Linked DNA regions of Lytechinus pictus. The protein of the gene in region 3 interacts with the protein of the main gene of each other region in a biochemical or structural test. Links are inferred from orthologs where the notes say so. Each region holds a gene or a part of one and is shown on either strand. Other genes may lie near its edges.

What was found.
Region 1: of the proteins of DDB1- and CUL4-associated factor 1-like (region 3) and uracil-DNA glycosylase-like, one has a biochemical effect on the other in vitro, tested with the Homo sapiens proteins (2 studies listed by BioGRID, with this or other methods). The link is inferred for Lytechinus pictus from reciprocal best matches to the Homo sapiens genes DCAF1 and UNG.
Region 2: the proteins of DDB1- and CUL4-associated factor 1-like (region 3) and merlin-like form a complex in vitro, tested with the Homo sapiens proteins (3 studies listed by BioGRID, with this or other methods). The link is inferred for Lytechinus pictus from reciprocal best matches to the Homo sapiens genes DCAF1 and NF2.

What each region holds. Positions count from the first base shown.
Region 1 is NC_087256.1:25,355,398-25,362,876, reverse strand, and holds the start of uracil-DNA glycosylase-like, read left to right. Parts: upstream 1-4,396; 5' UTR 4,397-4,541; coding exon 4,542-4,622; intron 4,623-4,764; exon of another isoform or gene 4,765-4,921; intron 4,922-6,333; exon of another isoform or gene 6,334-6,417; intron 6,418-7,304; exon of another isoform or gene 7,305-7,416; coding exon 7,417-7,479. UniProt on the Homo sapiens protein: Uracil-DNA glycosylase that hydrolyzes the N-glycosidic bond between uracil and deoxyribose in single- and double-stranded DNA (ssDNA and dsDNA) to release a free uracil residue and form an abasic (apurinic/apyrimidinic; AP) site.
Region 2 is NC_087246.1:17,162,974-17,171,040, forward strand, and holds the start of merlin-like, read right to left. Parts: upstream 3,108-8,067; 5' UTR 2,557-3,107; coding exon 2,476-2,556; intron 193-2,475; coding exon 64-192; intron 1-63. UniProt on the Homo sapiens protein: Probable regulator of the Hippo/SWH (Sav/Wts/Hpo) signaling pathway, a signaling pathway that plays a pivotal role in tumor suppression by restricting proliferation and promoting apoptosis.
Region 3 is NC_087247.1:55,106,208-55,114,296, reverse strand, and holds the start of DDB1- and CUL4-associated factor 1-like, read right to left. Parts: upstream 3,088-8,089; 5' UTR 3,026-3,087; intron 1-3,025. UniProt on the Homo sapiens protein: Acts both as a substrate recognition component of E3 ubiquitin-protein ligase complexes and as an atypical serine/threonine-protein kinase, playing key roles in various processes such as cell cycle, telomerase regulation and histone modification.

The DNA.
Region 1 (7,479 bases), on a different chromosome or scaffold from region 3:
TGTTTATGTTAACGTCTGTCCGTTAAGATAATGACTCACATGTTTACTCGTGCTCTACCCCCCCCCCCCCCCCCCCCATGAAGGGTGTGTGTGTGTATAGCGACAACCACAATTCTAGTTCAGTGCCCCGTTACATAAAGCTTAACGATTGATCGTAAAGCTGATTTCTACGATCGATTGCATTGATAAGTGTGAGTGATCAATTGTAGTAATCAGCCTTACGATCAATCACTACGCTTTGTGTTAACGGGTCCGGGATTGTGATGACGGTCAAGGCGTTGGTCAAGGATGTATTTGTTGCAGTTATGACAGTGAGGGAACAGCTGTTAGTCAAACCAATCTATTGCGTTTCCTTGATGCGCATTCCATGCTAATCTGCTAATCGTCTTGCCAAAAGGGGCGGATCTAGGATTTATTTGAAGGGGGAGCTCACACTGACGAAAAGTTTATTGTATAGATTGCCAAAAAAAAATCATTATAAATACTGGTGAAGCATAGCAGGGGCGGATCCAGGATTTTTCGAAAGGGGGGGCACATTTACCCGAGGAATAATTTGACGAGCAAAAAAAAAGGTCTTCACTTTCAAGGGGGGGGGGGCACACTTCCGTTTTAATGGCATTTTTACATTACAAATTTTAATTGAGCCTCTCATCAAAAGGGAGGCGGGGGCTGGCTGTGCCCCCCCCCCCCCCTGAATCCGCCAGTGGCGTGAAGGTTTGAGGAAAATCCATAAAAGATTAAGAAAGTTTTTTGGAATTTTAATTTTTTTATCTGTGATGTACGATACAAGCAGCTGCCCAATAATTATGTTTGGTAATATCAAAATGCATAGATTTTAAAGGACAAGTCCACCCCAACGAAAATTTGATTGGAATAAAAAGAGAAAAAATCCAACAAGCATAACACTGAAAATTTCATCAAAATCGGATGTAAAATAAGAAAATTATGACATTTTAAAGTTTCGCTTAATTTCACAAAGTTCTGGGCACATCCTGGTGGGTGTTTCATAAAGCTGTTCGTAAAGTTACGCATGACTTTACGCACGACTGGAACATGTTCTTAGGTCATAAACAATTACATAGGGATATCACACAGCACAAGAAAGGATCACCAGTCGTGCGTAAAGTCATTCGTATCTTACGAACAGCTTTATGAAACACCCACCAGGTGGGTATGCAAATGAGGGGACTGATGACATCACTCACTCACTATTTCTTTTGTATTTCATTTTATGAAATCATGATTTATTCCCATTCAGTCTCCTCATTGTCCTTGAAACGAAGTTTAATTCCTCCCTGAACACGTGGAAATGCCATCCCATTAACATTTTATGGTTCAGTCAAGTTGGTCCTTATTGTCAAATCTGTAAAAATTGAAATATTCTACATTTCAAACAATAAAAAACAAAAGAAATAGTGAGTGAGGGACATCATCGACTCTCTCATTTGCATGTCATTGAGTTGTGCATGTTCTGTGAAAAATAAGCGAAACTTTAAAATGTCAAAACTTCTTTATTTTACATCCGATTTTGATGACATTTTCAGCATTATGCTAGTTAGATCTTTCTCTATTGTTTAAATCAACATTTTTCTGAGGTGGACTTGACCTTTAATGGTTCATGATGACTAAAATCTTTTATATTTCAGGGCGGGTGTGAAATAATTTGTCTGTTGATATAGTACAGGTACAATTAAACTCATTTGATTATTTTCAGAAAATTACCTTTCATTGTTCATGTGACGTAACAAATCAAAAAAATTAAATTCTAATATTTGTACATGATTTTTCTTAAACCTCCATCAATATTTTTGTATCATTTTGTCTGCTATTTTTACAATAAACTTTTTGTGAGGGTGAACTTCCCCTTTGTAGGAATAGGGGTCAAACTTTCGATCTTTGTAAATGATGGTACATAAGTGATGAGCATATCAAAGAGGGGGGGGGGCTAAGGGTCTAAATCTCGATGTTGTGCAGGGTTTTCCTCTCTTCGTCGTCTTTGTTTAGTTTTATTTGCCGTATAAAAATCACAACAAAATACATCGTACAAATTAATTTTAAGATTAAATATATAAAAAAAACACCTTAAAAATATAAGGATGGATTACAGTTTCTCTATTAAGAGCCATTAACATAATGGCTCTGTTATTCCTAGAGGTCGTTGTTGAAGTACATAATTTTCCGTAAGGGGAGGGGTTTGGGGCCATATATGGACCCCCCCCCAAAAAAAAAAAAGAGAGAGAGAAAATTAAGTTAAAAACTAATAAAAACAAGGAAAAAGGACGAAAAGGAAATGCGCGAAATTTGATCATTTTCTGAGTATTTTGCCAAAATATATCACAAAATTTGCGTTTTGTATTAAAATGTCAAAATGCTCGCTTGCTTGGCTCGCTCGGAACTTTGATAATTTTGCCCATGCACCATGTTTGTCTTGATTCCCTCAAAATTGTTGGCTCATTGCGTGCACTGTGAGTGGACACGTCCAGCTAGGGACCATCGGGTGTGATCCCCAGTAATATTATGCAAATAACGAAAATAATTGATAAAGTTTCGCCGAAGTTCTGGGGTGTCAAGTGAGAGAGAGAGAAAGTTTACAATTGACAATCTCAACAAAACCATGTAGTAATTATTTTCGAAACCAACAACCCACAACATAATCAAGGGCCTATGTGACCTACATAATGGAAGAAACTGAAGCTGCATAACTGATCAGAATAATATGCCTGCCCTATCAACAGCATGATTTCGCAATGTCAGCTTTTCAGACACGCCAGCAAATTCGTTCGTATCGGAAAAGGACCAAAAGCCTGACTATATTCTGACAAAACAAAAATAAACGGGCGCAAAACAATCCAAAGATGAGATCACTCATCGAATAAAAAATAAAGCACCGTTATTCTCCGGAAAATTTGTCCAATGTCATTTCCATCCAGGGACCCGTTTCATAAAGACTTGTTATAACAACAAACACGCGCAGTTTACTATCAGCCAATCAGATTGAAGGATTTCAGTAGCTTTAAACATGTTATTGCAAATTTGGTTTTGTGAAAAGGGCCACTGGTTTGTTGAGGGATCCTGTCATCAGTAAAGGAATTTCCTGGGAGGATGGTCGATGGTAGTTGTCAAGGTTACCTCACTCAATTTCAAACTTTCTAGGGTAGCATTCTGATAAATTAAACCAAGGATTAACCCTAGTCTATTTTTTGTTTAACCACACTCTTCTATGGAATGCATGCAGGCTTCGAACAATTCTTCCATATTCGTATAGCAGTATAATGTATAAATTAATGCATTAAAATTCATATTTTCGTATTTTCTTATTTCTTTCAATTTCACTCAATTTTTAACAACTTTTAACAGAAGATTGGGAATAACTTTTATGAGTTTGACAGGTGGCACTCCATAAATGTGTGGTCTGAGTTAACCAAATCTCTATGGAGTTAACCCAGGTTTAATTAAACCATGGCTATCAGATTACCACCCCTATAATAGGCCTACGGTGAACATGAATAACAAAATTGACAATTCTGTGAACAATATTTACGTTGAAATCCTGAATTTTATTTATTATAAATTATTTACCAAAACAATTCCTACATGTTATGTAAATTTCTTTATGTTAACTATCAATTTATTTGTATAATAGAATGTATATACTTATAAATGTATAATTTGTATTATGTTTTTTGTTCTTCTTGGAAATATAAGATCGAATTTGAATTTGAATAGGAAAAGCAATCGGGGGTGGCGAGAAGGGGGGGGTGACAAAACATTGGGGTGAACGTTAAATCAAGTTCGATGTAGACTTTTTTGGCTTGGTGTTGGGCTGTAACACAGTACAAGCGAGAAGATCGAGCGAGCGAGAAGAATTTGTGGTGGGCCTGGGGTTATTCATCTGCAGGGTTAGAAATGTAATGTAATCTTGGCTGCATGCGATTGTTTTCCAACAGCTCTTCTAATATATATATACTGTATATTATATCTCAAAATTATTCCGTTCAAAAGTTATAGCATTTTTATTTAGGGGGGGGGACTTACTTTTTTTGTTGTAGTTTGTGGTAAAAATATAAATACAACGAATCAATTAATTGGTTTATTAATTGAACAATCAATTAATACAAAAACAAACGTAAAAATAAAGATCATGAAGGTAGCTGATTTAACTTATAGAATACAAAATAAATAATGAAATAAATCTAGATTAATCAGTCAATAAGTGAATGAATAATTAAATGAATGAATAAATAAATAAATAATATGAATACGTAACTTTTCGGGTGTTGTCATAGGATCATTCATTGTGTATGAATTGTTATGTACTAGTATGTAATCATATTTCTACTTTTGTCTTGACAGCGGCCGTCTGAGCCGTCCGATTAAAAAAATCTACCGGTACAGCAAAGGACTGGGCGCATACGTCAAATCACTCAAATGTATATGTGCATGTGGACGTGGCCGGCCTTGGCGCGCAAAATTGAATAATAAAAACAAGAGGAGTTGCACGTGTGCGGGAAAAGAGGTGAAACGTGAATTGAGTCGCAAAAATGATTGGACAGTCAAAGATATCGGCTTTCTTCAGCCCAAAACAGGTCAAAAGACCACTTTCAAGTGTAGAAAACACACAGGTATTGTAAATTGATTTATACCGTATTTCATTTGCATTCTCAGGCAGGAAAATGAGCTACTGCTGCTTCCGATTTGCTGAGGGCTACAAGTACCTTACCTCGAGCGAAGTTCGTGCAGGCTCCACTCCACTTCACTACCGCTACACTACGCTTCACCTACCCGGGTAGGTGAAGCGTAGTGTAGCGGTAGTGAAGTGGAGTGGAGCCTGCACGAACTTCGCTCGAGGTACATGTACCTCGGCTCGAGCTCAGCAGTGCCAGTGCCTGGTTGATTAACCCAGGGCAGGGAGCTCCGGCCCGCTTCGCGTGCCGGATCCCAGGAGTCGACCGTGCAAAACGAGGGAGACACTGAGCCGGTAGATTGGGGTCTCAATAATAATCTTAATAAAATGTTGAAACAGAAATTATGCACTTACCACGTCCACAATGGATGAAGGTCTATCGTGACACACAAATCCTGACATCATGGACATCGAGGGCGAGGCACAGTGCCACAGACAATGACAGACTGGAACCTCAAAAGACAAAAAACCAAAACTGTCGCGATACCTCTCCTTTCAAAATTAAAAACAAAAAGGCCGATCGAGACCTAATCCTAGGCTATATATTTTTTTTTAGGTTCCAACTTCCAGTCTGTGCCTCGATGTCAGGATTTGTGTCTTGTGCAGTCAGACCGCAGGTCCCTATGGCTATGCTAATGAGCAAAAAGGCCAGATTCATCCAAATCATCTCGTGGCTGAATCCTCCTCCTTGCAAAATCGAGATTTTCTTTCTCTAAGATTAAGAATTTACCTGTTTTAACCTCAAGTTAAATGAAATATTATTGCACCATCAGATAGAGCTAGTAAATGTTACTCTTTCATATCGGTTATTTATTTTGTATACAATATTTCGTTAAATAAGTAAATTTCTGGCCTGAAAATGTGCCTCAAAACTGAATTTTCTTCCTCTGTTTTCTTTTGCAAATTGTGCAAAACTTTTTATTTTGAGCCTCAATGATATCTATATCACCATAAAGCTGAACTTCAGTACTTTCTCACAATGCCACTCTTGATATCCGGCACCTTTTAATCGGGTCAAGATCACACTTTTCCCACCAAGGTACAAGACGAGATTTCTGAAATTTTGTACTTGCATGAAATCCAGAGTTCTGATTGGCTGGATAAGGTTCACAGAACAACAGGCGCGGGGTATTTGAGGAGATTACCACATGGGAAGTGTGACCTTCCCATGAACACAGGCACTGGAACCGTTGGAATTTGCCACTGTGTGGTCTCTGACCAATCAGAGTGCAGTATTCTTGTTTTCAAGCTGCTTTATGTACTTGGCAAATGAAAAGTGTGATCTTGACCCGATTAAACCAATTCTTATTTTGAAATCTATATCATTTTAAAGCATACATATTCAGCTTTATCATGATCTGAAAATCATTTGGGCTCAAACAAAAATAAAGTGTGAAAATAGCAGCTTTTGTCAGGTGAAAATAATTATTTTGTAGCATATTTTAGATCAATATTTTAACCTATATTACAAAATCTTTGAATAAATTCAAACACATGACCTGAAAGAATGATTCTTCTTCTTTACAATAACACCAAATTCATGAAATTCGATGCACAATTAAAGCAGCAATGACCGAATGAAAAGAGGTGTTTTGGTCCGCATCAGGCTCATTAAATATGCAAAACATCTCAAGTCATGAATATCACTTGGATGAAAGAAGCCACTTTCTTGGGACCTGCCGTCTGACTGTGTGTGTCAGTACTGTCACGATACTTGATATACGGTAATCGTGGTAAGTGCATAATTTCTGTTTCCACATTTTATGAAGATTATATTGAGACCCCAGTCCCGTGTCTCCCTCGTTTTGCACAGTCAACTCCTGGGATCCGGCTTGCTTCGCGTTACGAACCCATGAATTCTAATTCAGTATTCAATTCAACTCTTCCAAATCCATCGAGGCCCGAAAAATACTAATTCCTTCAATACCACATTCCAAACACAGCTGGCCTGAACTAGAAAAACCGGCAACTAAAACTAACCATTATCATGATTATGGAATGTAATCAGTGCAAGATGGCAAACGAACTTTTTACCAAAGGCAAAACAACCAAATCTCTATTTTCCACCCCGCTGTATAAACATTGCAGCAATACTTCCATATATGTCCCCTCCAGTAAAATTGAAAAAAATATGAAGAAGGTTTATATCAAGTCATATATCTCAGAGTTTTAGGAGGGAAAAGTTGGATACATACCAAAATGTGGCTTGTATTCGTCAAATAATCGAGTGTGCAATAAATAGTGTGAGTGATACTATACAGACCTCGCACAAGAATGTCCTGTGCCTGTGGCATGGGACTTTTGAATACAAATTTATACATGTTTAGTAATTATAGTAGTAGTGTAGAAGGATTAATGATTACTATACAACAAAAAGGGATTTCCATATGATATATTTCCAAAAAAATTACCTGTCACACATTCATTTTTGCACACCTTGATTTAGACAGGAATAACCGTCGTTTCTGGGGATTTGTTTAACATTTTCTAACATTTTGCTATTGGTGAGTGGAGCCAACGCAGTTCAGCAGAACAACCAAATACAGAGACTGAAGCTTTTGGTCTAACCTTGATTATGCTATTGGCCTTTATCATAAAATAAGATTTGCAAAGCTTCTAGCACAAATTTGCTGTCATCCAATCAAAGACCATGAAATCGGGAGCTTTCATCAAACAGTTATTGTAATTTTGAATCGTAACAGCCTTTGTGATCTTGATGTCTTTCAATTCAGAGCCCATCACCCAAAAAAGCCAAAGATGCGAATAATGGCAAGCCTTCTGGACTGAGTCCTGAG
Region 2 (8,067 bases), on a different chromosome or scaffold from region 3:
AAATCAGTTAACAATAGTATGAAGATTAGCAATATTCTGGTATTCATCACGAGTAGTTCTCACCTTCTTGTCCATTTTGAGCCACGCGATATAGCGTTTAGAATCCTCATATTGCAGTCCAAAATACCAAGTCTCTCTTAATCCTATAGTACGACACACCAAGTCAAATAATTGGCGTCCAGTGGTTTTCACCTAGAAAAGAAAAATTGATTTCACATCAGCGTTGCTGAAATTTTGTTACATTTATGACAATTTAATGCCAAAGAACATCAATTGTTTTTCAAATTACTACCTATTTTTGCCCTCAAGTCAGGCTCAGTTCAGACTTCTAACTTAATATCAATAAGAATGATCTCTGCAATGACTACAACAGACACAATTATAACTGTGTGTTATAGATATATATGCAGATGAAGAGTTTTGAGTCCTGGTCAGGTCTTAAGAATGGTGGCATTATAGGTCGGCTCCACACACAATCTTTGATACACGCATGGCCCTGGGAAGCAGGGGTGCTGCATGTATTATTCTCTATAGACTATAGGCAGCACGCCCTGGAATTCTGGTAGGTGTTAAACAATGTAACGAAAATTACCTTCATTTTGTAGTGAAACCCTTTTTGGGGGGTCAAATTTACATCAGCACCCCCAATAAAAAATCGTTTCCAGGGCCCTGGATACATGTCTGTAAAATCTCACACACACACTTTACTGACAAACATGAAAAAAAACTCTAAGAATAATGAGAATTTCCTTATCTAAATTGGAAGATTTGACAAGTTCTACCTTAGTGAGTAAAACACTTTTTTTTTTTTTTTGGGGGGGGGAGGGTGATTCTAACATTTATCTGACTGGACGTAAAAATAAAAGGGCCAATCCTAGTACCAAATATCCCATGCGCTAGACGACCAGGTGAAGCGGGATTTAGCATCGAGGTGAAATTCATGATATTGATCGGCAAATGCACGCATTTCGGCAAATGCACGCATTTTTTATCAAGCACCGCTCATGATGTTGCCGCCCTCAAGACATGTCTGGTAGCTAGGCTACAATAAAAAAGAAGACAAGATGGCGACAATGACATCTATGAGTAAATATGCTCATCTTCTTATAATGTTTTGGAAATTCAACATGTAATTTTGTTTTAAAACTAAAAAAATTTGGGCGGAAAGGGTTAACAGGATATTGTAGCCAATTTACATAAGTTTGGGCTCAAAACCCTGAAGAAAAGTTGTAATTTTGAGGAGCTTTAATCGTGGGGGAAAAATGATGGTGCGTGTACTGAAATGGCATGCCATTCCTGGCTCCGTGGAGATTACTGCCAAGTTCCTACGGAGTACGGGAGTTACAACAAACAGAAACCTATGTAGCAAATGAATTAATCTCTAGGAGCCTCCTGGCTAATCATAAGTAAATTGAATGGTTGCGCAGTCATGGGGAACCGTTTTTTATCAATTTGCAAATGACTGGCCAAGGTTTTTACAAGAAAATCATATAGAATCTAGTCTACTTCTCTCAATTTTTAGGAGACTTTTGGCACACTTACATGTACTTATAAGAATGTATAGATCTATTAAGGTAAGGAACATTTAACATTATATATCAATTGAATTTTTTTGTGGAATAAACTTTATCAAAGACTAAGGTCTTAGTCAAGAGAAATTCATGTTTAATCTCAATTAAATCTTCGTGCCCCCTTCATAATCACATATAATTTATTTTTGTGAGATATGGGGAAATTGTTTTCAGATTCATGTGGATCGAATGACCAAACTCCTAAAAATAGCAGCCCGTTTGATCCTGAGATGTCATATACATTGTACACCCCATATAAAAAGAAATGTTTTCACATCTAGATTGGACGGCCTTCCAGTAGGCCTACAGAATCATTTATTTTCTATATATATTTGTTTGGAAATGTGTTCATGGACTCGCACCAGAATACTACTCAAATTATTTTCAGGATCTAAAAAAAACCCATAGAAAATTACAAGGCAGTCTGTCAGAAACGATCTTGTTGTACCAAGGTGTCGGTCTGATTATTGCAAACTTTCCTTATTTTACGCCTGTCCGAAACTGTGGAATAACTTGCCGGTCATCATACGGGAACTATCATCTTTAAATTCTTTAAATATAATCTTAAAAAACATCTCACATCAATTGACAATTAAGGTTCACGTTGGCACTTGCTACTTTGTTAAATTTATTTGTTTGAATGTTTCAATACCATTGTCATTGAAATAATCGCTCTAATTTTGCAATGTTTATTATTGATGTCTTCGCAATTCAGCTTTTATTGCATTGTTTCTATATGTTATGTTATTTCGAATAGGTCTAAATATCTGTTAAAGTGTTATTGCATTGTACTAGGGCCCCACGGGAGATCAACTGTTGATGTTGTTGAATGGGCTACCCATTATTTAAATTAACATAAACAATAATATTTTTCAGTCTGATAACGTCAGAAAGTGAAACTCACATCAATGCTGAATTCTAATTCGGCATCCAGAGTCTGGACTCTAACAGTAAAAGTTTTCTGTGATCGTCGCATTAGCGACATGATGATGAACCTCCGTTGTAGCACTCAGCTACAAATAGCACATCCGCGATTCTGCTGCATCTATGTCAGCGGACCAGCTCCTTCGCCAGAGCACGCCCATCCAATCATCTAACTCTCGTTGTTGGTGGTGTTATGATTCATGCAACTGGTATTCCACGCACTTCTCCGTGCATGCGTGTCTTGGCTACTCGGACCGCAAGGCCCCGGTTGCGAAGCGAGCGTCAATCGTGGTGGAAGGCAGGGAGAAACAAGAAAATCATGATATCGTTCCTTTCAAAACACAATAGAAGAGCTAAGAAATATTCTTCTGAATAGTGTGTTGAATTACATACAAAACAAATCGACAGATTTTTTTTCCTTGAAAGTAGTGTAACGTTAGTCGGCCACTTGTTCCCCTTCGGCTTCGGCTTAGCTCACTCACGAACTTTGTAATGTACACAAGACTGGTCTAGTACTTTCACACTAAGTTGACGCAAAGTAACATGGTTGTGAATTGTTATTATTGAATCACTATCTAAAAATAGTGTTGAAGCACCAGTCTGCCGAGGAATGCTCATTTTTACATTAGGTGGTCATACAGTACAACAGAAACGTTCCCTTTTGTTTTGTTTCTAGTCTAAATTCTAGACTCTGAGAATTGACTTCAACAGTGTAGCCTCGAAGTGTAGCTGGAAGATTGAAAATAACTAAAATATTCAAATCTCCTCCAGTTTCTATTACCCCCATATACCATCGTCAATCGTTTTCGTCATCATTCGTAATATATCATCAGAATCACCATCATCATCTTCATCGATCGTCATCATCGTCGTCACCGGCGTCGTCGTCATCATCATCATCATCTTCATCATCATCATCATCATCATCATCTTTATCATCATCATCATCATCATCATCATCGTCATCAACATCATCACCGGCACCACCACCTAAGCTTGACCTCTAAACACTTACACGCGCATTAGCCTATGTTTAAAATAGCCTACTGACCAGGGGAGTGTTTCATCAACATTTTCATCCGACAAGTTGTCAGATCTGACATCTTTCTCTGATGTTGATTGGTTGAGAGGTACTGTTACTATGGTAACTGTCGAATAAAATGGGACTTGTCGGATAAAACGTCCGACAAGTCCTTTCATGAAACGCCCCCCCCCCCCCAGGGACCCCCAGGGACCCCCAGGGACCAATCAGTGCGGTTCTGTCATATTTGCGATTCATAGCAAACCTTTGTTCATCTTATCACTGAACATAACAAGGGTGTGGTGTAATGAGGAAAAATATGAGGGGCAGAATGCATCTGGAGCAAAATTTACAAAAAGTGTCCAGCGAGTGAAGCGAGCGAGCTAAGTTTTGAAAATGAAAATCTAATTCTGTGAAAGATCAGTGGCATAATATTAAAATATATATAATTTCAGATTTCACCTTTCGTTTATTACCTTGCCTCTTCTATTTCTTGGTCATGGAAAATTTGCTTGTTTATATAATGTGGACAGAACTTCTTCGTCATCGACGGATTACTTTTCAACAAAGGCCCCCAAAAATACTGTGTCGAATCCAAACGAACATTTGATATTTGTCTAAAACACACTATGTCAGAGATGAGAAGGGGATGAATGATTGTCGTTGTTAAGCGGATCAGTCCCTCAAGGAACTGAATTTTCTGTTTATGGCCCCGACCTCTAGCGTACCTATGGGGGGGGGGGGCAGATTGCCCCCCCCCCCCTGACGAGTCACAACCCATTGCAAGGGACGTATCCCTTTTTTTTTTTTTTGCTTGTCAATTTTTTCTGGTACAAAATGTCCTTTACATGCGCTTGAAGACCTTTTTTTTTGCTTGTCAAATTTTTGGCGGACGAATTTGCCCCCCCTCTGGAAAATCCTAGGTACACTACTGGCCCCGACCGTATCGATAACATCACTTCCCAAAGACGGGATTGAATGGGCTAGCTATTTCGCTATGCCCCCTCCACAAAAATAGGTTCCGTTGCTCAGCATATTTTTGTTTTTGCTTTGTAGAAGTCTTTGTTGATAGATCAATAAAAATCTAACACTTAGTTCGATTCATTACATCAAATACAAAAGGTATGTCAGTGGCGGATCCAAGGGGGAATGGGCACATCCGGTCCGTGCACCCCGGCCCCCTTTTGAGAGCCAATAATCAAAATTTTTAATGTTCATATACCGTTCTTACACACGTATGCCCCCTTGAAAGGTCAAGCATAATATTTTATATGCCGTTCATACAGAAGTGAACCCCCCTTTTTGCTTATCAAAATTTTCTCTGAAAAAGGGGCCCCCTTTTGGGAAATCCTGGATCCGCCCCTGGTACATGTATATGCTTGCCTAAAGATTCTTATGATACATAATAACACAAATTTTGTTAAATAAAATACATAAAGAGTTGCATACCGTATCTCATCAACTAATTGAGGTTCTAGGACAATTACCCCCGGACAATTACCCCCCCGGACAATTACCCCCGGACAATTACCCCTGAGGACAATTACCCCCCGGACAATTACCCCCTGGACAATTACCCCCGAGGACAATTTCCACCGAGAACAATGAACACCCCCCCCCCCCCTCCCCGAGGACAATAACCCCCTATAGACAAAGTGAGTGCACAGAGTCATACGTCGGCCGTACGTTTGACGTAAGAAGTACTCAAGGCATTCTCGAGTATCTTGGAATCAAACGAACGCCGTAAGAAAGCTGTAAAAGTAAGCTCCATCTCCATCCCCCTTCTCTCCGGCATCAATGTTAGAATTAAGCGGGACCCAATGTAAGTTTTGGTCGGTGGCACAGGTTTTCGAAATATTTTCTATTTTATCTTACGTTAATAACCCTTTCTTTCTCTTTTATAAAAATATATTGCTCTTTCTCCTGTTCTCTCACTTTCTTCTTTTTTCCTTGCTTTTTCCTTTTTTTCTTCCTTTTTTTTGTTTAGCGGCGCCTTCTGCATCATGACAAATGGGGGGGGGGGGGGCTTGCACCCGAAACCTCCCGTTTGGCTATGCATATATACATCAGAAAATTTGTAAACTGGCCCCCATACTAAGTTTTCATAGAACATTGAACACGATTAGTCATAATAATCACAAATGCTGAATATCTCTGATTCCAACTGATCTGATTTTTTAAACATTTATTTTAGGTTTAATTTCAGGAAAGAAATAAGGCAAATAGATATAACGTAAAAAAGACACCTTCAGGTAAAAATATTGAAAGTCGATAACGCAACTATCAACACTAACACTGTCAAATATAGGACCCATATACCTGTTATTTTAAAACAATTCAACTAACAAGAAGCTAAGAATTATGAAACAATTGGCAAGGGCGGATCCAGCTCCCGCCAAAAGGGGGGGGGGGCGAAATTTGTTTTCACCCATATTTTCCCCGATCGGCCACTCAAAGGCGGCTCAAAGTTGATTTTGTTTATTTCTTCGAAGGGGTTGTCTAAGTAGCGTATGAGCGAAAAAATTGAGGGGGTTTGATACGGCATATCGCGTAAAAATTAATGAGAAGTTGCGAGCAAAGCGAGCGAGCCAAAATTTTGACATTTTAATTACAAAAATCAAAGTTTGCGATAGATTTTGACATAACATTAAAAAAATGATAGGCCTAAATTTTAAACTTATCCCTTTCCCTTTCTCCCCATTTTCTTGGTAGTGAAAAATTGGGGGGGGGGGGGGGGGGCAAAACGCCGATGTCCTAACAGTCATTTCTTAGCTTCATAAAATGTTAATATCATATATATTAATGCAATAAAGCGTAATGAGTGAGTGAAATTTGTTGACATTTGAGGCATGAAAACTAAATATTTTAAGCAATTTTGCAATCATGAATAGGATTTATGAGTTGATATGTTTTTAACTATTAATGAGAGCGCAAATCGCGAGACGAAATTTTTGATAAACTGTCATAAAAGGGGGATTATAGAATTAATATATAAAGAATTTATTGGATGAATAAAGATAATAATTATGTAGGCATACTTCGCAAATCAAATAATGCGAGTGCACAGCACAAAGAGCTGCAATTGACATTCACACTTGAAAAAAATCAATTTGTAAATAAAAAAATAATGAAAGCTCGATATCTGAGATGAAATACGTTTTGTATATTGACTTCAAAACTTGATATTTTAAGCATATCAGTCTATATTGAGCAAGATATGAATCTCATCGAAAAGGCAATGCGAGCGGGAAGCGTGAGCGAAAATCTTAGTGACATATTAAAAGTCTTCCCTTCACCTTATTATTCACTCCTGTTCCTCCTCTCATTTTCTTCTTCTTTTATCTTCTATCTTTCCCCTTCTTTTTTCTTTCTTCCCCCCTTTTTTGTTCTGTCAATACTACGCCACTGCGAAGATTGCCAAAACGAATGATCTTATGCTACGGTGACATACAAATTATGATCGAATTCTGGGTTTCGTAAAGATTTGCAGATGGAGCTTACTTTTACAGCTTTCTTACGGCGTTCGTTTGATTCCAAGATACTCGAGAATGCCTTGAGTACTTCTTACGTCAAACGTACGGCCGACGTATGACTCTGTACACTCATTTTGTCTATAGGGGGTTATTGTCCTCGGGGAAGGGGGGGGGGGGTTCATTGTGCTCGGTGGAAATTGTCCTCGGGGGTAATTGTCCGGGGATGATTGTCCGGGGGTAATTGTCCTGGGGGTAATTGTCCTCAGGGGGTAATTGTCAGGGGGTAGTTGTCCGGGGGGTAATTGTCCAGTGGGTAGTTGTCCTGATCCCACTAATTATTGATAATATTCTGAACGCTGCATTATTTAAGTCAAGTCAACCCTTACCCCATTCCCTTCCTTTGACCTTATCAGGGCTGCTCCCCCTACCTCCCTCTATTATAATATGCATACTCTATCATGCTTTGATATGCCTGATAGCTCTTTATATCTTAACTATACTCTGTCTCATTTGTCACATTTTCTAAGGTGTTCAGCAAATTCCCTTTCTTCTAGCCTATCTTTTCTTGTATTTTCTCTTTAATCTGGATAAGGGTCGTTGTTGCTTCATCGAGTGTTCTATTAACAGTGGCGGACAGATGGGGGGCCTTGGGGAGTTTGCCCCCCCCCCCACCAAAAAAATAATAATAATAAAATAAAGTATTATAAAATAATTCAACACCAAGAAAAAAAGGAAAGAAATTAAAGAAAGAAGGGTGAAATGTGATTATTTTCTGAGTATTACGTCATAATCTATCACAAAATTAGATTTTTGTAATAAGGCGACATTTTTGCTTGCTCGCTTTGCTCGCTCACAACTTTACATAAATTTTGCCTGATAGGCCATTTCTGGCCCCCTCACTGATTTTTTTTGGCTCATTTTTACAAACTGTATACTTAAAGGTCAAGTCCACCCCAGAAAAATGTTGATTTCAATAAATAGAGAAAAATCAAACTAGCGTAACACTGAAAATTTTCTCAAAATCGGATGTAAAATAAGAAAGTTATGACATTTTAAAGTTGCGCTTATTTTTCACAGA
Region 3 (8,089 bases):
CCTATACCTGATGTAATTTGCTTCAATATAAAATCATAACGAAAAGAACGCCTTGAATACAGGCCAAACAGCCTAACGACATTGCTGTGTCACGTGACAACTAGTATTACACGAGGATGTACACAACCCTATGGCGACAAGGTTAGTCGCAAAAGTTGAGCAAGTTCTGGACAAAAAGGCTTCAGTACCCCAAGAATAGACCAGGCGAGTACTATTTTATTTATTTATACATTATTTTCCATAAGTAGTATCGAGGGTCTAATTTAAAAATAGATTTCGTCATGGAGCTCCATGGTAATATCTAGTAATTTAAGTCCAACTTTTGATTCGCGTGCACTCACTTTTTTAACACAGGAATTGATAGGCATGGTGCCTAGAGACTGCTAACAGTAACACTAGGAAAATGTTCTATGATCTATAATATGAAATTAATATTCAACATTTTTACCACAGAAATACATATGATTTTTATTTGATTCAATGACTGTATTTTTGTTTTGGTCAAATTATGCTTAAGTGTCCAATATTTGGGTACTTTACTCTATTGTGTCAGTGAGTGGTGAACTTGTCTTGAGCTAACCCAGGAAGCTCCCGCCCGCGCAGCGGGCGGGAGCCCAGGAGCTTACCGTGTATTTGACCATAGTCACCGGACTAGGGTGATTTAATTATGGTCTAAATATTTCTCCAAATGAATTGTGAAAACAGAAAGTATACAATTACCACGATTATATGGATGAAGGTCTAACGAGTGGCAGTTTCCTGACATCTGGGCACAGACTGGATCTGGAACCTCAAAAAAAAAAAAAAGTTCTCTCCTCTACCCCAGTCTCGATCGGCCATTTTGTTACGATTTTTAACAAAAATGGCTGATCGAGACGGGGGTAGAACTAGAAGGAGAGAACTTTTCGGTTTTTTGAGGTTCCAGTTTGTGCCCAGATGTCAGGAAACTGCCACTCGTTAGACCTTCATCCATATAATCGTGGTTATTGTATACTTTCTGTTTTCACAATTCATTTGGAGAAATATTTAGACCATAAATCACCCTAGTCCGGTGACTAAGGTCAAATACACGGTAAGCTCCTGGGCTCCCGCCCGCGCAGCGGGCGGGAGGCGAAATTATTTTTCCCACCGAGTTCTGGACCGACATATGAATATTCATGACTTGCGTCTTCGGATTGAGAGTACGCATGCGCGTGGACTTGGCCTCGACCAGTGCCGATCGTAAGCATTCACGTTGCTCAGAATGAATTAGCATCGTCAAATTACTCTTATAGGCTTAGATCTATATATATATATATATATATATCCAATTCTTAAACACTTAATAAACTAGCTGCCATTAATGGCAAGACATGTGCTAGGGTAGGGCTAGCTTAGGCTAGCGCATTAACTTTACCTCAAATCTGGACCTGTCTAATGCCTAATACTAATAGGAATAGCCGACTAATGCCATGGTTAACTTCGAACTGGTTAATTCCGAACTTCACGTTTAATTAGGTTTAGACAAATATTAGCTTATTTGCCATGGTTTAATATGTCTAGTCCGTATACAAAACCAGTCCTAGATCTAAAAAAAAAATATCTTATATAGTTCTAGTCTAGTCTCTATATCTAGACTCTGATCTACGCTGTATCAGCATGGAACCAGTAGTGTACCAAGGGTGGGGGGAAGACTGTCCCTCTGACGAGTCACAACTGATTCAGGGGACGTGCCCCCTTTGAGAAGCCATATTAATAAATTGTAATGTAAAAATGCAATGAAAAAGACGTATGTCCCCTTTTTTTAACGTGAAGATCTTTTTTTTTTTTTTTTTGCTTGTCAATTTTTTTTTCAGCTAAGAAATCCATAATTTGGGGTGAATACCCTTTTTTTTTTTGGGGGGGGGCTTGTCACATTTTTTCGCGGACGAAATACCCTCTAAAAAAATTGCCCCCCTTTTGGAAAATCCTAGGTACACCAGTGCGTGCATGGAACGTATTCTAACGTCAGGCACAAATTAACGTCAGTGATCTTGATCCCCGTCTTCACCCAAAATTAAGGATTTCGTAGCTGAAAAAAATTTGACAAGAAAAAAAAAAGATTTTCACGTTCAAAAGAGGGGACATACGTCTTTTTTCGTTGCATTTTGACATTACAAATTATTAATTTGGCTTCTCAATGGGGGGGGGGCATGTCCCCTGGATCAGTTGTGACTCGTCAGGGGGGCAGTCTGCCCCCCCCCCCCTTTGGTACACTAGTGGTTCCATGCTGATAGCGCGTAGATCAGAGTCTAGATCTAGAGACTAGACTAGAACTAAGATATTTATTTTAGATCTAGGACTGGTTCTGTATACGGACTAGACATATTAAACCATGGCAAATAAGCTAATATTGATCCAAACCTAATCAAACGTAAAGTTCGGAATTAACAAGTTCGAAGTTAACCATGGCATTAGTCGGCTATTCCTATTAGTATTACTATTAGGCATTAGACAGGTCCAGATTTGAGGTAAAGTTAATGCGCTAGCCTAAGCTAGCCCTACCCTAGCACATATGTCTTGCCATTAATGGCAGCTAGTTTATTAAGTGTTTAAGAATTGGATATATATATATATATATATATATATATAGATCTAAGCCTATAAGAGTAATTTGACGATGCCAACTCATTCTGAGCAACGTGAATGCTTACGATCGGCACTGGTCGAGGCCAAGTCCACGCGCATGCGTACTCTCAATCCGAAGACGCAAGTCATGAATATTCATATGTCGGTCCAGAACTCGGTGGGAAAAATAATTTCGCGGGCGGGAGCCCCCTGGGTTAGTCTTGAGCTTGCACTTTGCAGTTGCACACCAAGCAAAAATAACACAACACGGATACAAATAGCTGGGATCACACCGTACCATCCGCATCACTCCCAAGCTGCAAGTCCCATGAAATAACTTGAAAAACACGCAAAAAATACAACAATACATATCAATAATTACTAACTATATTTCTCATAGAATGAAAACCTATCGAAAATGAAAGAAATTATACAATACCGAATCCAGAATATTATGTTTTTTCGGTAAAGTTTCAGCCAGGTCGAAGTACTAGTCTCACATACGGTAACGCGCACGTGTAATAGTGATGTTGGACTTAAACTTGCAGTTAGTTGCGTATTGTTGAAATATCGAAATCGAAGCTTATACGGCCGGTGTATACTGTCGAAATTGATTGATCAATCTGTCAACTGCTATAACCAAAACCCCTAAAACGCACGGCACAAACCCTGGGGCGCAAACACAATAAAAAGTGGGTTTACCGGGATGGTGAGTCAAGCAAGTTTCTCAATCTTCAATCTACTTTGTTGAAAAAACAACACAACAAATTAAGAGCCCCCAAAGAGCACTAATCTGCAAGGGGAAAAAATGAAAAGTAAATCGTCTTGAAGAGCAAATATTTTCCCAGTCATAATCAAAGGCGTAAATGAGCCAAAAAATTTGAAGGGGCTAGATGTATCGCATATTTTTTTTAATTGAGAGAGAGCGAAGAGCGAGTGGGTAAAATGTTATGTTTATCAAAAATCAAATTTCAATTTGTGATAGATTTTGACAGTAATTACGTTATTCAGAATATATGATATCATATTTCACCTTCATTCTTTCCTTTTCTTTCTGAGCTTCCCTTTTTCTTTTGCTGTCATTACTTTTTTGGGGCGCCCCCCCCCCCCCCCCCCCATCTGTATATGCCACTGGTGAACAGGATTTTGTTGTGGTCGTTGGTGCGAAGCTAGCTCTATGCAAGAGTGTAAAGCGACAAATGAGGGGGCACAGCAAGGGGCATGTGGCAAGTTTCTTAAAAGTTCCTTTTCGTTGCAATCTTAATTAAGTATTTTGACATGATATACCAATGAAAACATTACATCTTCCACTTTTCCGGTCCTTAATTCCTTCTTTTCTTTTTTGTTCTTGGTCGTAGAATCTTTTGGGGCCACAATTAGGCCACAAGCCCCTAAAGCCTTTTATTAATTTGTACATCAGTGCTATGTGGGTGGGGCTTGCCGGGCGGATGCACGGAGCCCCAAAAACCTTACCAAATTCAGCCATTTTAATCGTGAAAGATGGCCACTTTCAATCGGATCAGGGATTTGTTTTGCAAACCACATTACTTCATCGTAGTGGCATTATAAACCAAACCTTTTGAGGGGGTACATTATTGGGTATAATGTGGGAAAAATTAAAAAATATCCTGAGCGAGCGAAGCGAGTAAGGATATTTATGGCCTTATGAAATAAAAATCTAATTATTTAATTGGAAGTGCGTGTCTATCCCTCGGCTAGGGACATCGGCAATGCTCGGGCGGTACCTCCGGAACCTCTCAAAGTTCAGTAATTTTTTGTCCTGATTAATTGCGACCGTTATTGCATGAAAATATCAAGCTATTTTTTGCACATAATACGCCATCTGATTCTTTCTTCCCGTTCTTTATTTTTCATCCTCGGCAACCCGGTCGTGTTCTTAATTTTTTTTTTTTTTTTTTCGATTCAGATTTTATGTCAGCATTTTCACTCAATCCATTCTACCCAATATCCCGTTTCTTTTGCCCCCCCCCCCTAGGCCCTCCATAAATTCCCGTTCCATTTTGCCATCTCTTAAAGGGATGGTCCGGGCTGAAATATTTATATTTAAAAATAGAGTAAAATTCACAAAGCGAAGTGGTGAAAATTTCATCAAAATCGGCGGGATAACAAATAACAAAGTTATTGAATTTTAAAGTTTATCAATATTTTGTGAAAACAGTTATATGCACATCGTCATGAATATTCATTAGGTGGGCTAATGATGTCACATCCCCACTTTCCTTTTTCTTATGTTATTACATGATATCATAAATGTTTCATTTTTTCGTGCATGTGTAAATGATGTGTCTCCATTATGATGAAATAAGTTGCGGCAGTACATAACTAAACACTTTAATCAGTTGTCAATCCAATTGTTCTAGTTCGTGGTAGAAAATTTTTGAATAAACCTAATTTCATATAATAAAATACAAAAGAACAAGTGGGGACAGGGGCGTCGATCAATTTTTCAGATTGGGGGGGGGGGCAAAATCATGAACCAACGTTCCAAAGGCGCTCGATCACACAAAACAAACAGACTCACCCACACACTCACACATAGGCATATATATATATATATAGTGTGTGTGATGATAAGTTTACTTCTACCAATCGCTGTTGAGTTGTGAATATTAAACATAATGAGATGAGGCGAGGCCAACTCAACAGATGACGCAGGACACCATTATTTGCTTTAGCTTTCGTCTTTTAATTGAGACTTCATCAGAAGCGTCTGAAAAATATAAGGAGATACAACATCCAAGTTTGTTTTGCACATCAATGAATTATCACCAAGTTGAATATATTCCATAATGACACATTAATGAATGAACAGATAAATAAATTAATGAATAATAAATAATTAATTCAATTAAAATAATAATGATATAAATGAAGAAGACATACCTGTAATTACAGACTATTGTGATAGTTAAGTATGACCGTATCCTATCTCGTTCTTTAGGAAAGTGGCAAAAATTGCACAATGAAAACAATGGTTGCTATAGTATGAAGAGAATGTTATTCAGATGACATTTACAGTCACCTGTTAGTGAATTCATTATCTAAGCGATGAATGTCCATCTCTTCATATGTCCATGATGAGAGGAAGCGTTTTGCGCCCAAGCATATGCTAGATATTGGTCACTCATTGTATAAATTGGCACTTTAAACCTGTATGTGTAATGCAGAGTACAATTTTGTATTCGTGCGAGGGAGCATTGCGACCGAGCCTTTTCCCCCACCTACCATTGCACAGCCGTAGATGAGTTACCTGCATGCCATATCCACTGGCGTAAATCCGTGAGGTGAACCTATAATTAAATTGTTCAGGGGAAGGGGGTGATCTATTGTTCACCCCCCCCCCCCCCCCACTTGAATAGCATGACGTCACAGACTTACGCCAGTGCCATACCCCTTAATATGGATATTCCCATTACTTGTATGCGAGTGAGCGTAGCGACAAAACAAGGCCTTTTGCAAATTTCAATGGTAAATCTAGTAAATAATATTAGCATTACGCTGCATACACTTGATGAAAGAGATGTTGTTGTGTTATAAAAATCTTTCTTGTGGTAAATGATATTCATCATGAAATGTTCACCAGTCGTTCTTAAAGTTGAATTAAGAAGACGATTCCAAATATTGAGATATTTACATTAATAGCAACCTTACAACCCCCCAAACACTAAGAGGTGATTCGACCCCCCATTTTCTTTTTTCAAAATAGTGAATTTGAACGATTTATCCCTACCCATTTTCCCTGAGTTCGCTCCTGCAATGCCTACCGAGACGGGTGTTCTTTGACTGTGACGTCACCGGGGGGTATTCGGTCCCGGTGTAGTAAACAAGGCAGTGCCGCTTTGTGTACTATGCACGTACGCCTTCATATGGAATAACTGCAGTTGAAGTTGTATCTGCGAGCCATAGAACTTGCAAAGAGGAAATGATTAAAATATTTGTGGCCGTACTATTATTCCAAATTTGTTGGGGAGGGAAGATGAGTGGATTGGCGCTGATTAGAGATTGGGAGACATGTGCCCTCTATGTTAGCTTTGGGAAAAAGCACTTCCAAACAACAAGGTCCAATCTGGACTAACCGGCCGCCCGCTCCGGCGCAGCTAGCTGTCGAGCTAGCTACCGTACCGCATACCTTTCTTGTTTTCTTCAACCATAGATATGTACGTATACTAATTACTATAATATCCCTCTGTCTTCAACTCACTTGCGAATTGCGTTTGTATGTGTGACGGTGACCCCTAGCGTAATTAAATATAGAAAACAACTCAGAAGGCCGAGAAAGAATAATACGTTTGGTTCAAGATTGTTCTGTGGAACTGAGCTATGAGTGGAAATGATCCAGAGGATATAAAAGTGGAGTCAAAGACAAAAGAAAAGAAGAAAAAACGCCAGGGGATCGCTGCACGGCCATGAACTAAGTCGACATACCAGACCATAACAGTACACCAGCTTCCCTGAGTACACTCAATGCCTGGGTGTTGTGTGTACTAGTATTCTGCAATCAGCGCGCGCTGAGCGAGAGCTGAGCTAGCCGCCGGAATTACTTTCCAGCTATTCACTTGATTGAACATCGTGATAAAATAAATGAGAAATAGTGAAAATATCATTCAATAACTCACTGTTTGCTATCTTACATCATGATTGAAGAGTTCATGATGGTTATTCATACTGTTTTTTATACAGGGAAAGTAAAGATTTGTACATATCAGTCCTATTTGTTTGATTTGAGTTGCTTTGAAAAAAAATTGTAAAATATCTTTCTCTCTCTGCATAGCATTTCTGTATGACATTCAGGCACCTCTTATACTAAATTCACCCGGTGACGTCACACTCCGAGTGGCTTTTCTGTACACTCGTCTCTCGGGCTCTGACAGGTGGCTAATTTCATAGACTTTCAAAGCAAAATATCGAGAAGGCAGAGGATTTTTGTGACATGCTATCTGTTTGAACAACTTATATATACTATATATTGTGTGTAGAACCTATATTTATGGAAACTCACCCCCTTCTTAATTCAACTTTAAAGGTAAAGTCCACCCCAGAAAATGTTTTATCTTAATAAATAGAGAAAAATCCAACTAGCAGAACACAGAAAATTTAATCGAAATTGAATGTAAAATAAGAAAGTTATGACATTTTAAAGTTTCGCTTATTTTCACAATATAGTGATATGCACAATTCAGTGACATGCAAATGAGACTGTCGATGATGTCCCTCACTCACTATGTATTTTGTTTTTTATTGTTTGAATAATACAATATTTCATTTTTTTTTTACATATTCGACAATAAGGACCAGCTTGACTGAACCATATATAGCATATTCAACAATGCTAATTCCACATGTTCAGGAAGGATTTAATTGTTGTTCCACTTGACAATGAGAAAATTAGAATATTTCATATAACAAAAGAAATAGTGAGTGGATGACGTCATCAGTCTCCTCATTTGCATACCGACCAGAATGTGCATATAACTGCTTTGTG